Linked DNA regions of Macaca mulatta. The protein of the gene in region 1 interacts with the protein of each later gene in a biochemical or structural test. Links are inferred from orthologs where the notes say so. Each region holds a gene or a part of one and is shown in the gene's direction. Other genes may lie near its edges.

Region 1 (4,948 bases):
GTTAGCCAGGATGGTCTTGATCTCCTGACGTTGTGTGTGATCCGCCTACCTCGGCCTCCTGAAGTGCTGGGATTACAGGCATGAGCCACCACGCCCAGCAAGATAGGTTTTCTTCATATTGGCCAGGCTAGTCTCGAACTTCTGACCTCAAGTGATCTGCCCGCCTTGGCCTCCCAAAGTACTGAGATTACAGGCGTGAGCCACCACACCTGGCCAGTCTTTAGAGACTGTCTGGAGCAGGCCGCTATGGCCTCGTTAGGGTATAGGAACCCTGATGGAAGGCATGGGGGCTGGGCATACCTCAGGGACCTAGAGCAGGGAGACCTGGAAAGCTCTTGTCTCCAGGCCACCGAGGGGACCCCCAGCCCTCGCCCATTCATCTGCCATCCATATACTGACAGTCCCGGGACACATTTACTGAACTCGTGCTCTGCTCCATTCGAACACATCACTCCTTTTCTTAACTTTGGTTGCCTCCCACCTTCTTTTTATTTTATTTTATTTTATTTATTTATTGAGACAGGGTCTCATTCTGTTGCCCAGGTTGGAGAGCAGTGGTGTGATCTCAGCTCACTGCAACCTCCACCTCCCACCCCAGCCTCCTGAGTAGCTGGGACTACACAGGTGTGCCACCACACCAGTTTAATCACCTTCTTTAAATAAAATCCAAGCTCCTTACCATGACCTACAGGTCCTTCTTGGTGGTCCAGCCCACCTCTCCCTCCATCCAGCCTCCCCTTTAACCATGACACTCTGGCCAAGATGACCTCTCTTCTTTTATTGTTGGTTTTGTTGTTGTTTTGAGATGGAGTTTTACTCTTGTTGCCCAGGCTGGAGTGCAATGGTGGGATCTCGGCTCACTGCAACCTCTGCCTCCCGGGTTTGAGCGATTCTCCTGCCTCAGCCTCCCGAGTAGCTGGGACTACAGGCGCCGCCACCACACCCGGCTAATTTTTGTATTTTTAGTAGAGATGGGGTTTTGCCACGTTGGCCAGGGTGGTCTCGAACTCCTGACCTTAGGTGATCCGCCCGCCTCGGCCTCCCAAAGTGCTGGGATTACAGGCGTGAGCCACAACGCTTGGCCTAAAAGATGTTTCTGGAGTAGGAGGCTTTGGGCCTAGCTGAAAGGTTTGTGTCTTCAAAGGCCTGAAGAGAACATCCCAGGTGGGAGAAACAGCAAGGAGGGAACGTGTGGAGGAGGCAGGGAGACCCTGCTCTTGGGACTACTGTCTGCAGAGGGTCTCCAGAGGCAGGACCCCAGGGGTAGGGACACTGATGCAGGAGTCGCTCTGCAGTCCCTCCCCCCAAGCTGTGGGCCGGGGTGCCCCCAGGGACGCGGGCTGTGCGCTCCCACGCCCAGCCGAAGCAGGACGTTCCCACGCGGGGGCGGCCCTGAAAGGCTGTGGGGCGGGCCGGGGGCGGGCGCCCGCGCTCAGGTCCCTCCGCAGCGGGTTCTCAGTTGCTCTCTGGGCAGACCCAGGTCGCACTCCCGCTGCCGAGCCCGCGAGGTGAGTGAGTTGGCGGAGGACCCCGCAACCCAAGCCCGCGCGTCAGGGGCGCGGCTCGGTCTCCTGCCTTCGCCGCTGGGTCGCGCCCCGAGTGGTCCCTGTCTTAGAGGGTTGGGGGGCTTCATGCAGGTTAGAGTTGAGGGTTCCTGGGGAGCCCTCTGTCTGCATATGTATGCCATCTTTTTCCCCAAATACAGATTACACCCTCCCTCTCTGGATATGTGGAGCTCTCCCACCCACTAATCATAATCACTGGCTGGAGCTCCTCTTTTCTAGAAGTGCGGGCCGCCCCCTCCCACTTATCACCTGTAATGTGCCCCCTCCCTCACTCTATTTGTTGGGTGTCCCTCTCTCCCCCTAGATGTGGGATCCCCTTCTTTTCCCCAGATGTGTGTCTCCCTCCCTCTGACCCAGTTGAGTCCCTATCCTCTAAAGCCCCTCCCCACCCCCATGGATGCCAAACCCTGAGTCTTCCCTGGGGGTGGGGGACTGGGCTTAGCCGGTCTGGCTGAGCCCAGTCCCCCACCCCCAACCAGATCCAGCAGAGCAGGGCTGTGTGCACGTAGGCGGCCAATTATGGGGGAAGAGGTGGGGGCCAGACGGTCTGTCTGTTCTGCCTGTGCTGGGCAGGGAAGAGAGCCTGGGGACCTGCTCCCTCTCAACCTGGACCCCACCCAGCTTCCTCTGGGGAGCAAACAACTGAGCAGAGTTCTCTAGTCTGGCCAGACTGAGCTGGGGCTGGCACTAGAACCCAAGCCCTCAGCCTCAAACTCTTCAGACCCTGGCCCAAGACTTAGGCCTCCTCCCACTTCTCAGATGGTGAATTGAGGTCCCAAGAAGGGGCTCCAAAGGTCTAGGACCCCCATTGCCCCCCCTTCCCAGGGATATCAGACAAAATTAGAAGGGTCAAGGGCATGAGGGCGACCTTGAAACCCTGGGATCCCTACCACTACCATACCAGTGGAAAAGGGTTTCTCCGTCTGGCCCTAAGGTTTGGGGGCAGAGGGTGATGTGGGGGCAGAACTCATCTATACCTCCACGCCCCCAGATGCTGCCCAAAGCTGCCTGGAGCTTGGTGCTGAGGAAAGGTGGACGTGGAAGACGAGGGATGCACAGCTCAGAAGGCACCGGTGAGACCTGGAGTCCTTCCTCCCAGCCTAACTCCAGAGATAGGGGCAGGGGTCCCCTCTGCCCCCTTTGCCCTTCCATGCCACCCTGGGCCTGTTCCTACCACACTTCCTATGATCCCACTCCTTGGTCCCAGGCCAAGTTTCTCCAGGAAATGGAGTCCGTGGGGTGAGCAGACAGTGGCCATCTCCATTCCAAGCTTCCTTAGGAGCCCGCCCCCAAGCCTCAGGTCCCTAGGTCTTTTTTTTTTTTTTTTTTTTTTTTTTGAGACGGGGTCTCGCTCTGTTACCCAGGCTGGAGCATAGTGGCCGGATCTCAGCTCACTGCAAGCTCCGCCTCCCGGGTTCACGCCATTCTCCTGCCTCAGCCTCCCGAGTAGCTGGGACTACAGGCGCCCGCCACCTCGCCCGGCTAGTTTTTTGTATTTTTTAGTAGAGACGGGGTTTCACCGGGTTCGCCAGGATGGTCTCGATCTCCTGACCTTGTGATCTGCCCATCTCGGCCTCCCAAAGTGCTGGGATTACAGGCTTGAGCCACCGCGCCCGGCCTCCCTAGGTCTTTTGTCCTGAGGTGGAGGATGCTGACAGAACCTTGGACCCTGATTCCTCCTTTCCAGACCCCAGTTTGAATGCTAGTAAGAAGAAAGAGACCTAAAGCAGGAGAGACTTCAGCCAGATAGCAGAAGGGCCTTGCTGACCCATGGAGAATAACAAAGAAACATTTATTGAGCCCTTGCTAGTACCCCAAGCTATTATAAACCTTTTTTTTTTTTTTTTTTTTGAGACAGAGTCTTGCTCTGTCGCTGAGGCTAGAGTGTTCAGTGGCGTGATCTCAGCTCACTGCAACCTCCGCCTCCTGGGTTCAAACGATTCTTCTGACTCAGCCTCCCGAGTAGTTGGGATTATAGGTGCCCACCACTGCGCCTGGCTAATTTTTGTATTTTTAGTAGAGGCGGGGTTTCACCATCTTGGCCAGGCTGGTCTCGAACTCCTGACCTTGCAATCCACCCGCCTCGGCCTCCCAAAGTGCTGGGATTACAGGCGTGAGCCGCCAAGCCCAGCCACTTTCTTTATTAATATAGTTAGAGATAGGGTGTCCAAGGGGCAGCCTGGACTCAGCTCCCTCCATTGTGTCTGCAGCCCGTGGTGGGGGGAAGACGCCCCGCTACACCAACTGCTATGCCCAGCGCCACTACCCCATGCCAGAAGAGCCCTTCTGCACAGAACTCAACGCTGAGCAGCAGGCCCTGAAGGAGAAAGAGAAGGGAAGCTGGACCCTGCTGACCCACGCCGAAAAGGTGGCCCGTAGGTGTCAGGGTGGGGCTGGCTGGAGAGAGTGGGTTGGGGCCTAACTTTGGAAAGAAGGGCCTATCAGGGATCAGAGGGCAGAGAGAGGCCCCCAAGACAGCCAGAAACCTCCAAACACCTGAGGGGTGAAGTTTATGCCTTTGTTCGTTTCTTTATTCACTCACCTATTTGTGCATAGCCTGATGTTAGGCAATGCTGGGGACAAGAGGTGAATCACCTGGATAGTTCCTGTCCCCATGGTGCTCCCAGTCCCGTGGGGAAAACCAGTACAGACCCCAAAAATTGTAATACAGAATATGTGACTAGGGTGAGGTGTGTTCAAGGACTGTGAGATGAAATCTTGGTGGACCTCCCAGAGGAGGGCACATTCCAGCTCGCCTTTAAGGGTGAAGAGGAGGGCACTGCCAGGGAGTGGGAACTGCATAGGGAAGGGTGTCCAGAGCAGGAGACTGTGGAGGCTCCTGGAATTGAGTGATGTGGGAGAGATGGAACAGAGAGAGGCAGGTGAGGTGGTTGGGGAGGAGCCCTCTGACCCTGGGAGACTGGAGGGATGTGTGGTCCCTTGTCATGTCCACCAGAGCATCCCTGAGCTGACCCTTTGATATTTGGAGCACCTTATTCTCATTCCATGAATGGGAACACTCAGCCTGACTTCCAAGATTTCAAAGGATTCCTAGTGGGGAAAGGTTCATGCTTCTCAAATTCATTCATTCAGTCAACATCTTATTGAGCACCTACTGCAATACCATGCACTGGGAATGCAGCTGTGAGCCAGCCAGGCTCCCTTTCTGCCTGTGAGCTTGCATTTCTAGCCCTCTCTCAACACCTTTCCTCTCTCCCTCTCTCTCTCTCTGTCTCTCTTTCTCTCTCTCTCTCTCTCTCTCACACACACACACACATATCTTGGTTTTCTCTTCATTTCAGAAATTGACACTCTTTATCTGAGCGTGGTGGCACATGCCTGTGGTCCCAGCTATTCAGGAGGCTGAGGCAGGAGGATCGCTT
Region 2 (5,003 bases), on another chromosome or scaffold:
CTTAAGGAGTTACATCCAAATGCTGACTATCTTTGTCCCCTCCAAAAAGCACAAAAGGTCTTGAATAAGTGTGGTGATTTCTGCTCTGTTTTATAGGAAGACTGTGGCTGTAGTGTGTGAAATTAGAGGGGAACTGGAAGTCAGGACAGTTCAGAAACAAAAAAATACTCGTCATATAGGGAGATGGAGGATCGGAGCAGAAATAATAAGACCAGTGGTTTGGAAGTGATCTAAGATAATCTACGTCAACCTCCTTGTATCTATCACTTAAGTTGCAGGATGGGAAAAAGGATCCCAGAATGTAAGCTCCACCAGAAAGAGTCCTCACTGATTTATAATACTCCAGGTACCTAGAAAAATACCTGGCACATAACATGCATTCGATAAACACTTTTTTTTTTTTTTTTTTTTTTGAGAAAGTCTCACTCTGTCACCCAGGCTGGAGTGCAGTGGCACGATTTCGGCTCACTGCAGCCTCTGCCTCCCAGGTTCAAGCGATTCTCCTGTCTCAGCCTCCTGAGTAGCTGGAATTATAGGCGCGCGCCACAACGCACGGCTAATTTTTGTATTTTTAGTAGACACGGGGTTTCGTCATGTTGGTCAGGCGGGTCTCGAACCCCTGACCTCAGTGATACACCCGCCTCGGCCTCCCAAAGTGCTGGGATTACAGGCGTGAACCACCTCGCCCGGCCAATAAACACCTGACTTAATACGGCAGTGCCAGACAGAATACAAGGAGAGAGAAGAAAAAACAAACAAACAAACAAAAAAAACAAGAAAGATGGAAAAATTAATCAGAACTTGGGACCAGAATTTGAGGGGTAAAGGAGTCAAGAAAACCAGTGACAGAACTAGGCATGTCAGGAAGGGGATCTAGTTTTAAAGGATGGCTATGATAACTAAAAGCTGGGTATTAACGCCTTTATTTCCAATATGATCTTAACTGCATTAAGTTTACTTGAACATGACCTTTACCTAGGTAAGAAGGGATGCAAATCCTCTAGATTTCCAATAATTCTCTAATCATCTAAAAATGTTTCTTCCTAGATGTTGCCAGCACACATTCTGTGTTCTTTCGGCACACGAACGCGAGGGGGAGGAGGGCGTTAGCAGAAAAGACGCTGACAGGTAAGGGGTCAGAGGGATAATCCTGTTCTGCCGCAAATGCAGCACGTTCCTCAGTCTTGGGGCGTCCATCAAGCGGAGAGCTGGAAGATGACTGAAAGTAACGGAGTAGAGGTGGAACTAGAACAAGGTCACGAGCTGCTGCCCAACTCGTGTAACTCCTGGTTCCAGGCTGTCCCTCTAGGATGCTGCTGGCGCCAGCCAAGGGAGCAGGACAGAGTCTGGGTAAAGGTCGCCAGCTGACAAGATGGTAGCTAGGAGACCTCTAGGTGCGCCAAAACTAAGGCGTCTTTTCCTGGACGGGCAGAACGCCCTGCTCAAAGATCATTACATCACCACGCCCAAGAACTGATACTTTAGCAGGGCAACGCGCCAACAAGGCGACTCCGCCCCACCCTCCCCGTTCCTCCAGCACACGCAAGCGCACAGAGGCCCGCGGGTGACATCACCCCTCCCGACACCACCTCGTTGTCGTACGACCAAAGGCCTGTCGTAACGGCCGGGCAAGAAAGGCCTCGAGAGGAAGGGCACGCACGCCGCACACCCTAACATGCTCGCCTGCATGCGCGCGCAGGTCCTTTGCGCAGGCATTGGGACTAGAGCCAATGAGGTGCGGCGACGTTACTGCGTAGCCGCCAGCTCGGCCGCACGTCAGGGCGCGGGAGCGCGGAGCGAGTTTGGTTGCACTTACACCGGTACTTAAGCGCGAACCGGCGTGTCCTTGGACTTAGAGAGTGGGGACGTCCTGCTTTGGAGCGGGAATATTCGTTGCGCCAGCGACTAAAAACAGGTGAGAGCGGGTCGCGGAAGCCGCACCTGGTTAGAGGCAGAGCTGTGGGCGGCGCGCACTCGCGAGCGACCGAGACCCAGGCGTGGAGCCTCCGAGTGGAGCCCGCGCTGCGTGGGAGGGCCGGGAGTGAGGACCCGGGACTGTGGTCAGACCGAACCGGGCGAGTAACCGCTTGAGGTGCGGCGGCCCTAACTAGGGACAGGTATGGTCTCAGTCAGGGACTAGAGGAGGCTTAGATACAGATCCGAGGAAGACGCGGCCCCTTTCGTAGTGGTTGCTGAGGGGCTATGGAAATGATAGGCAAGACTTCCCACCCGGAAAGCCGAAGCTTAGCACTTCACGTTCTCCTTCAGAGGGCAAAAGCTGTTGCTCTTCTAATAAGGGGCCATTTCTTTACGTGGGCACGTTTCTTCCGTCAGTCGTTCTGACATCCTAGAAACAGTTTCATCAGTCACCTTGAAACCGACCTGGATGGGTGACCTCATGTTCGCCCCGGGGGATCACAGGTAGGAGAGTGGGGATGTCCTGCGGGGACCGTGCAGCCTGCCCCTGCGTTCCCATTTACAAGTTCGAGTGTCAGGCTACTTCTGTGACCTGGGCAGGTAGAAACAGCCAGTACCGCTTTTTAAATATTTGTGTGCTTTGCAATATCCTCAGGAAGAGGTAGCTTTACATGGTAGTAAGATTAAATGACTAGGCCTTCTTAAAAATTGAAATTGTGGTGATTTTGGCTTAATGTGATCGCCCTTCAGCGTCAGATCTGTGGCTTAGTGACCATGATTTTCTCTTCTGAAACTGGAGTTTGAATTAGGTTCCCTCTTTGCTTGCTTGGGCTTTAACGTTCCTTCACGTGTACACACGAAAATAGGTTTTTGAGGAGGTGCTCCTAAAAAATGTTTTTGGTATTAAAGAGTATTTGGTATAAAGAGTATTAAAGCAATACAAGATTAATTCTGGTATTTAATGACATAAATTACCAATGGATTGGTAATTAAGTGGCTAGAGTGGTCATTCATTTACACTGTATTTGTTACCTGAGGAAAAATTACTAAGTTGGGGCTTTCGTTTTTAGAATTAAATATGGGTGATGTTGAGAAAGGCAAGAAGATTTTTATTATGAAGTGTTCCCAGTGCCACACCGTTGAAAAGGGAGGCAAGCACAAGACTGGGCCAAATCTCCATGGTCTCTTCGGGCGGAAGACAGGTCAGGCCCCTGGATACTCTTACACAGCCGCCAATAAGAACAAAGGTAAGAGCCACTTGTTAAATAAAACAGTACAAAACGCACGAATATCACCTGTGACACACTATGAGGAGTGTGAAATACTTAACCGATGCATTCTTTCTTGTTTAGGCATCACCTGGGGAGAGGATACACTGATGGAGTATTTGGAGAATCCCAAGAAGTACATCCCTGGAACAAAAATGATCTTTGTCGGCATTAAGAAGAAGGAAGAAAGGGCAGACTTGATAGCTTATCTCAAAAAAGCTACTAATGAGTAATAATTGGCCACTGCCTTATTTATTACAAAACAAATGTCTCATGACTTTTTTATGTGTACCATACTTTAATAGATCTCATACACCAGAATTCAGATCATGAATGACTGACAGAATATTTTGTTGGGCAGTCCTGATTTAAAACTAAGACTGGCTTGTGGTTAAATGAATATGTTCCGTTTTTGAATTTTAATAGTAATTCCAATTCAGTAAATGCTATCACTGTTTACCCCTTCTAAAGATATGATTAGACTTTGTTAGTAATGTTCAACTTTTCGCAAAGATGGTGAGTGCCATCTTAAAACTTACTGGAGATTGGTTTTATATTTAGATTTATATAGCTGGTTATGTGAATATATTTAAATACTGGGGAAATTCCTTCACTGTCTCAGAACTAAGCAAGATTCACCTGTGTTTTGTGTTCATTTGCCTCTTAAAGGCAAGGGTTGAAGATAAATAAGGTAGCAATGTCTAGAGTTTTGGCCTTAACGATGCCAATCTAATTATAATTCCCTGTATTTAAAATGGTTCCTTTTACTTATTGAAGAGCATTTTAGTATGGTTTATGTGTAATATTAAAGATTATTCAACACTTCTCACATCTTACAAATCTATAAGGTCACATGCTTTTAAAATAGTAGCAAGTTAAACTTCACTCTTGAATTCTTTACAATCTAAGTCAAACTAAGTTATAATTTAGGATTGTCTTTAAACAGCCATTCAGAAACATAAAACTGTAGAACTGTGTATTTGTGATTGGGAATGGTGCTTTTGCCAACTTAAAAGGATTAAAGTAGCGGAGATATACACAAATTTTAAAATGTGTGATCGCAAGACTAAAGATAATTAAAAAGAAAACCACAGATCATGATTTTTTGACTGTGCTTGATTTCATGACTGATGCAGAAACTTTAATGATTAAAAAGTGCAGGAGCCCTAAATATCAGTGCAGCAGCATTAACCAGTCATGGTGCTAGATTGTTTACTTGGTTTTCTAGGACTGCCTGAACTAGAATAACACTTCACTAATTGACTCTTAGTTTCTTTGCCCAGATTGAGAACTGCAGCATTTATGCCAGACATGGACAGACAAATGCTTCTGGTCATAGTTTTCTGATGTGTAACAGTGTAATTACATACTGAATTATTTCATGCGTAGTCTGTGCCATACACATTTAGAATAGTCCTTGGAGATTTTATGGAGATGGTGAGCACAAGGTAAGACATAAAGAATGATGAGAAAATAAATCTGTGCTGGCGAGCTGAGAGCTGTATCTTTGTGGGACAGTGAGAAGACTGGGAAGATGTAAATCCATAGTCTCAAAGGTGATAGGGATGATTAGATAGGTGTTTAAGGCCTGAAAGCAATTTATAACATGTGAGTCTTATTTTTATTTGTAGAAGAAATGTGGAAAGCTTGCTGTAATTCATATTTGAAATCCTAGTCTGAGTTATGGTGGGGAATTTAAAGATGCATCCTGGAAATACTTTTAAGATTTCAGCCTTTAAAAGGCCTTGTAGCAGAGGACTTGGTGACTGCATAAAGTTAGTGGTATTCAGGGACAGTGTAGCAATTAACTTACAAGGG

What was found. The genes of interacting proteins can lie anywhere in the genome.
Region 2: the proteins of COX4I2 (region 1) and CYCS form a complex in vitro, tested with the Homo sapiens proteins (4 studies listed by BioGRID). The link is inferred for Macaca mulatta from reciprocal best matches to the Homo sapiens genes COX4I2 and CYCS.

What each region holds. Positions count from the first base shown.
Region 1 is NC_133415.1:84,454,256-84,459,203, forward strand, and holds the start of COX4I2 (cytochrome c oxidase subunit 4 isoform 2, mitochondrial), read left to right. Parts: upstream 1-1,463; 5' UTR 1,464-1,508; intron 1,509-2,556; coding exon 2,557-2,638; intron 2,639-3,775; coding exon 3,776-3,940; intron 3,941-4,948. UniProt on the Homo sapiens protein: Component of the cytochrome c oxidase, the last enzyme in the mitochondrial electron transport chain which drives oxidative phosphorylation.
Region 2 is NC_133408.1:103,267,505-103,272,507, forward strand, and holds CYCS (cytochrome c), read left to right. Parts: upstream 1-1,854; 5' UTR 1,855-2,117; intron 2,118-2,987; 5' UTR 2,988-2,995; coding exon 2,996-3,164; intron 3,165-3,269; coding exon 3,270-3,418; 3' UTR 3,419-4,286; downstream 4,287-5,003. UniProt on the Homo sapiens protein: Electron carrier protein. The oxidized form of the cytochrome c heme group can accept an electron from the heme group of the cytochrome c1 subunit of cytochrome reductase.